Linked DNA regions of Canis lupus familiaris. The protein of the gene in region 1 interacts with the protein of each later gene in a pairwise test. Links are inferred from orthologs where the notes say so. Each region holds a gene or a part of one and is shown on either strand. Other genes may lie near its edges.

What was found. The genes of interacting proteins can lie anywhere in the genome.
Region 2: the proteins of NECAB2 (region 1) and KLC4 interact in binary tests that used the Homo sapiens proteins (3 or more experiments, as listed by UniProt). The two-hybrid records come from large-scale screens. The link is inferred for Canis lupus familiaris from reciprocal best matches to the Homo sapiens genes NECAB2 and KLC4.

What each region holds. Positions count from the first base shown.
Region 1 is NC_049226.1:68,814,309-68,817,403, reverse strand, and holds part of NECAB2 (N-terminal EF-hand calcium-binding protein 2), read left to right. Parts: intron 1-888; coding exon 889-942; intron 943-1,508; coding exon 1,509-1,621; intron 1,622-3,095. UniProt on the Homo sapiens protein: May act as a signaling scaffold protein that senses intracellular calcium.
Region 2 is NC_049233.1:11,773,180-11,776,830, forward strand, and holds part of KLC4 (kinesin light chain 4), read left to right. Parts: intron 1-157; coding exon 158-245; intron 246-1,433; coding exon 1,434-1,535; intron 1,536-1,761; coding exon 1,762-1,935; intron 1,936-2,239; coding exon 2,240-2,339; intron 2,340-3,399; coding exon 3,400-3,452; intron 3,453-3,651.

The DNA of each region.
Region 1 (3,095 bases):
GCAGGGCCCCGTGTTCAGACATGAAGATATTTCCAGGTGGTGGCAGCTGCACAGGGTCTCATGCGCAGTTACCATTGTTTCCCTTAACCAGCCGGGGTGCCGCCTCCACACGAGAGAGGACAGACTCAGGTCTGTGTGCCAGAGACACAGGCTGTCCTCGTGGAGGGATGGACAGGGATGACACAAAGGTGGCCTTTATTGGGGTACCCATGTCGAAAAGGAATAATGAATTTGTGGGTCAGGAGGAGAGGCCCTGGCTTCGAAGACAGGCTCCAGCTCTAGCCCCGCTGCTGTGGCCCTTGGAGCCCAGGTCCTCGGCTGTGGGACCTTGAGCGTGTCCAGCACGTACTCTGTTCTAGACACGGGGTTCCTGCCTCCTTGGAGCTTACAGTGGGGTGGCCCCTACCTCGGAGAGTCTAGAGAGTTCAGCAAGATGTACTTGTAAAGCGTTCGGAGCAAGGCCTGTGGGAGGCCAGTGATACAGACCACCCTGTTCAGACCATTAGATCTCCAAGGCCCCAGGGGTTATGACTTGGGGTGAGTGGTGGTAAGTCGGGGAATCTCGGGACCTTTGCCAACAAGTGTGGCAAAAAGACTCAAGCCCCCATTGCTGCCTGTCCCAAGGCCACCCGCTGAGTGGGTCTGGATCTCTGCTGCTTCCTCTGGTCTGGCTGCCAGCCTGGCTTCCCAGCTCCCCTCGGAGCCAGCACTGTGCGTGGAGGGTGGACCGAGCCCTGTCTAGCTGCCAGGGGACCCCAGAGCCCCTGGAACCTTGGGGTGGAGAGGCTGGAGCTCTTTAATGGCTTCAGGCTCGTCGTGGTGGTCCTGGAGGCCTCTCTGAGGGAGGTGGCCTCTGTCCCCAACACGTCTTTGTGCTTGGTGTTTCAGACCATTTGGTTTGACCTCCAGCAGCGCCTTGCGGACGAAGAAGGCACGAACATGGTGAGGCCTGCTCCCTTTCTGCCGCTCCCTGCGGCCCCATCCCTGCCTGAGCCAGGACGTGATGCAGGCAGCTCGATGTCCTTGGCACCCCTCCCCTGGGTACCCCACAAGGGGAGATGCAGCCCCGGCACCTGGCCACCTGCCCCTCCCAGGGCTGTCCTCTGATCACAAACAGCTTGGCTCAGAGCAAAGTGACCAGCGCAGTGACACCAAATCCACCCAGAAGTGGATTTTGCCGGGCACTGGTTTTGTTGTGTGTCAGCCCAGACGGCCCGGCCGCTCCTGATGCCCGTAGGGCCTCTTTAAACACCCTTGCTGGGTGCCGGCCCTGGTGGGGCTCCCGTCTGCTTTTAGCTCTTAAGCCCTAGTTCTTTATAGCCGGCTTGCATGTGGCAGGATGAAGGGCGTGTCGCACACGTGAGGGGTTGTTGGTTTTGTTTTGACCAAGCTGTCCCATGGTCTCGGAGGGCAGGCCTGGGGAGGCCGGGTGTGGGGCTGTGCCCGGGGGCGGGGAGGCGGGTGCCAGGCCCGGGGCGCCCAAGCTCACTCACCCCGTGGCCCCACAGCACCTGCAGCTGGTCCGGCAGGAGATGGCCGTGTGCCCCGAGCAGCTGGGCGAGTTCGTGGACTCCCTGCGCCGGTACCTGCGGGCCACCGCCGGGGCCAGGAACTGCTTCCAGTGAGTGAGCCGAGGGGCAGCGGCCGCAGCTCTGCCAGGGGCGGGGGGCTCCCCCAGAGAGCAAACCGCACCCCAGGGACCCCACAATGGACCGGGCTTTGCCCCCTGCGCAACCAGGGCCATGACTCCAGCTCCCTGGCTTTAGCATCCTCGTCTGTAAAGTGGGGCCACTGCCCGGACCCCCCTCACTGGGGCTGTGGGAGGTGAGCGTGGCCTAGGGGACGTGAAGGCCTCAGGCCAGGGGGTAGGACAGTGCGTGCCCTCAGGGTGGCCGCCCCGGGGCCCCACCCTTAGCTCCCTGCCACCTGCCGGGTCCTCGGCAAAGCTGAGCTGACGGCCACATCTGAGCAGTCCCTCACACTTGCCGGGTGGCCGTCATCAAGGCTGCTGGCCCAGGCCTCCCGGCTCTGGCCCATCCCGTGTCTCGCCCCCAGGAGAGCGGCTGTGGCTCCAGCTTGCTCTCTCCCAGCTCGCAAGCACGTGTGCTTCCGGGGATGCGGCTGGGAAGGGAAGCAGGCCGCTGCTCTGGCCGAGCACCTGTTCTAGGTGGGAGAGGGGCAGATGGAGAACGGGGTGCTGTGGAGGCCATGAAGCAGGGTCCTGGAGGGGCTGCAGGGATGGTTTGCTCCGGGGTGAGGGGTGGCTGGACCTGCTGACTCGGAGGAAAGGCCGTCCCCGCTAGGTCAGCTGGTGCCGAGACCTGGAGTGGCAGCCGGGGTGCCCTGTGTGGCACCTGCTGTGGCCCGACGGCGACACCAGGGGTGCGGACTGGGGCTGGTCGGGACTGTGTGGGAGATGCTGGAGCAGAAGGCAGACGTGGCCTGGTCTCTCCTCTGTGTGATGAGGGCTGAGTGGGGACCGGGGTGCATCAGGGCCAGGGGAGGCCCCGCAGTCACTGAGCAGGGTGGCCTTCCTGTGCCGTGGGTTCTGGAGCAGAGCTGACCGGCCTCTCCAGTGGCTGCAGTGGAGGGAGGAGGCAAGGCTGAGCGGGAGAGTGTTTGTCTCCAGAAACCCTGTAGAGGGTGGTGCGTGCACTGAGCTGGAAGGTCAGGAGGAGGCCAGGTGTGCTGGTGGGGGCATTGTACAGGCCTCCTGGGCCACGTTAAAGTCAGGCTAGCAGCCAAGGTGCTGACGTACAGGTGCAGCAGTCCTGGGAGGAGAGGTGTTCCCCGTGGGCAAGGCTGTCAGGAGCAGAGGGGCGCAGGCGGGTGGAGCGGGGCTCCCTGCCTGTTTGTAGAAGGACTGCGTCCTCCCTACAACCCACGCTTGCGTGTCTCCCTGCCTGCCCAGAGGCATTCCCCCCACAAAAGCAATCAGTGTGTCGCCAGCCACACAAATGCAGCCCCCGTGGTGGCTTTCATCTCCCAGTAACCAAGTACCAACAAACCAAATTGCTCCGGTGACCTAAAGCCTTGCCATCCATGTCTGGTGCAGGGTTACATCTGATCGGAGGGTGACACGTGTGCCCTGTCCT
Region 2 (3,651 bases), on another chromosome or scaffold:
TCCCTCTGCCTATGTCTCTGCCTCTCTCTCTCTCTCTGTGACTATCATAAATAAATAAAAATATTAAAAAAAAAAAAAAGATTTAAGGGAAGGAGGGAAAGAGATGGCTTGGGGGCAGAGTTCAGGGTCACCCCTTGTCACTTCTCTCCTCTTCCAGGGACCAGAATAAGTATAAGGAAGCTGCCCACCTGCTGAATGATGCCCTCAGCATCCGGGAGAGCACCCTGGGCCGCGACCACCCTGCTGTCAGTACTCCTTGCCTCCTCCTTTTCTGGCTTCTCTTCATTTGTGTATCCACTGCCCTCAACCCACTTGCTAGGGGTGCTCTGGGAGGAGGTGTGAGGGCTCCTTTCTTCAGGCCCTGTCTGCTAAGACCAGTGGTTCTCAATTCTTTGAGACACAATGACTTTTCCTTATAATGAATATTTTTCTGAAACATAATTCACAGACACTGTAACTGACATACACGTAGAATTCCAAAAAATGTTGAGTGATACCTCATTAATATAAAAATGAGGAAAGCAACTTAGAGAAAAATAACATGTAGAATATGTACTATGAAATGACAGGGTAACAGTTTTAAGTACAACTATGGCAGAAAACATAACATATAACTTAAATACAACATAATATACAACTTTAGATTTAGAAAAAGTGAGACCAGTAAGACTACTGTATATAAAAAGTACTAGAAAAATGACAGAGCAGGGGCTCCTGGATGGCTCAATCAGAAGAGCAGGAGACTCTTGATCTTGGGGTCTACGCCCCATGTTGGGCATAGAGATTCTAAAAAATAAATAAAAAGTATTTTAAAGTGTCACTTTAAAAAGTGACAGAAAAAAAATGACAGCAGAAGTACTGGTGGATACAAGATTAAAATCCTGTGTCACACCAAGTAACTACAGGTCGGATCTATTCGTATATGATGAGAAAAAGAAAAATGATAGATTGTCATAATGGAGAAAATGAGAAACAAGATATTTTTGCAAATGAGCTGACTTTAGGAAAATAATTCCTTATGTTCCCCCACGTGATAGGCAGGGATGATGTAGCTGAGCAAACAACTCCTATCTTGAGATCCCACTAAGTGTCAAGGCTTACAGTGTTCAAATGTCTGGCAGGACACTGCAGAGTTAACAGAGCTTTACCCCACGTGCAGAACATCTGCCAACCTTACCTTCCCAGAGGTAATAGTGGCCCCGGTGTTTATGGTGACCCAAAACCCCACCTCCAGAAATATCTACAAATCCCCCTAGAGGGCGGTACCACCCCCAGAGAGAACCTCAGCACCTCCAGGTCAGCATCTTCTCCCCTACCTAGGGGTAGGATGGCAGAGTTCCTTTATCCTGGGAGTGGTGCAGTGTGGGGCCCTGTTGTGCAGGGGGAGGCCTCTGAAAGCACCAATGCTTAGGGGGACAGGCCTGTCTTCCTAGGTGGCTGCCACACTCAATAATCTGGCTGTGCTCTATGGCAAAAGGGGCAAATACAAGGAGGCGGAGCCACTGTGCCAGCGTGCACTGGGGATTCGAGAAAAGGTACCTGTGCTTTCTCCATCTTCTCTGATGCGGTGGTCCTTCCTCAACCATCTCTCTTCCAGTCTGCCCTCTTCCCTCATTTTTGTTCTCAACCCCCTATGTCTGCCTTGTTCCCTTTCCTGTCATTCCCTTCCCTTGTTCCCCACATGGTTATGTGCACACGTGTTGTACACACACACACACACACAGTCCTAGCCACCTGTCACACTCCTTTACTTCCTTCCAGGTCCTGGGCACAGATCACCCAGATGTGGCAAAGCAGCTGAACAACCTGGCCCTGTTGTGCCAAAACCAGGGCAAGTATGAGGCCGTGGAACGCTATTACAGGCGGGCACTGGCCATCTATGAGGGGCAGCTGGGGCCAGACAACCCTAATGTAGCCCGGACCAAGAACAACCTGGTAAGGGAGGAAGGGGAGAAGTCAGTGGAGGGAGGGGAAGGGAAAGTACCATAATGTACAACACTCACCCCATCACCTTTGCGCAAAGGGGCTGCCTGTGGGGCTGAGGGATCTGCCTCATTCCTGTGGGAAGGCCGAGTCCCAGAGCCTCCTGGGAGTGGAATGAACACCCTTGACCATCCGGCTTGAAAAGGAAGGATGAGGAGGATCTCTGGGGAAAGTCATAGGGAGACCAAGAAGTGGAAATCCCTGAGCCCTGCTAAGACCTTGTCTCTGTCCCGTGTTTTTTCCTTTCTGCGCACAGGCTTCCTGTTACCTGAAACAGGGCAAATACGCTGAGGCTGAGACGCTCTACAAAGAGATCCTGACCCGTGCACATGTTCAGGAGTTTGGGTCTGTGGATGGTGAGCAGGGTGGGCCTGGGGAGGGACCTGCAGGGTGTGAAGAAATGCAGAGCAGGGGCGCCTGGGTGACTCAGTCTGTTGAGAGTCAGACACTTTTTTAAGATTTTTTTTTTTAAAGATTGTATTAATTTATTCATGAGAGAGACACACAGAGAGAGAGGCAGAGACACAGGCAGAGGGAGATGCAGATTCCATGCAGGGAGCCGGACGTGGGACTCGATCCCGGGTCTCCAGGATCACACCCTGGGCTGAAGGCGGTGCTAAACCGCTGAGCCACCCAGGCTGCCCTAAGATTTGTTTTTTTTTTTAAGATTTTATTTATTTATTCATAGAGACACAGCTAGAGAGAGAGAAGCAAAGACACAGGCAGAGAGAGAAGCAGGCTCCATGCAAGGAGCCCGACATGGGACTCGATCCCGGGTCTCCAGGATCACGCCCTGGGCTGCAGGCGGTGCTAAACCGCTGCGCCACCGGAACTACCCCAGATTTTTTTTTTTTTAAAGATTTATTTATTTATTCAGAGAAAGAGAGAGAGGCAGAGACACAGGCAGAGGGAGAAGCAGGCTCCATGAAGGGAGCCCGACATGGGACTCGATCCTGGGTCTACAGGATCACACCCCGGGCTGCAGGCGGCGCTAAACTACTGCGCCACCAGAGCTGCCCAGATTATTTTTTTTTAATTCATGAGAGACACACAGACCGGCAGAGACATAGACAGAGGGAGAAACAGGCTCCATGCAGGGATCCCAATGCAGAACTCGATCCTCAGACTGCAGGATCATACCCTGAGCCGAGGGTAGACGCTTAACCAATGAACCACTCAGGGCGTCTTGAGCGTCAGACACTTGATCTCTGCTTAGGTCTTGATCCCAGGGTTGTGAGTTCAAGCCCTGTGTTGGGCTCCACCTGTGGAGTCTACTTAAAAAAACAAAAACAAAATGTAGACCAACGGTGGGGGGTTAGGCCCTAGTGGTTCTCAGGCATTTGGGTCCTGGCTCCCCCTTGTACTGTCTAGCTGTGTTCTCTAATCTTACCACCCCATCCCATATATCACCCCTAGATGACCATAAGCCCATCTGGATGCATGCAGAGGAGCGGGAAGAAATGAGCAAAGTGAGTATGGGGCCCAGCGTGGAGAGGACCTCTATCTGAGCCTCTGGCTTACTCCTTGCACCTGCCTTGCTTATTTCCCACATGAGCATCAGCCCCAGCTGCATGGTGCCGTGGCCTTCTCTAGCGCAGCCCACAACTTGGCCCACAGCCAGCCTGCTGGTGCCACAGCATCTCTGTGCTCTCATCTTCCTTCCTCTCC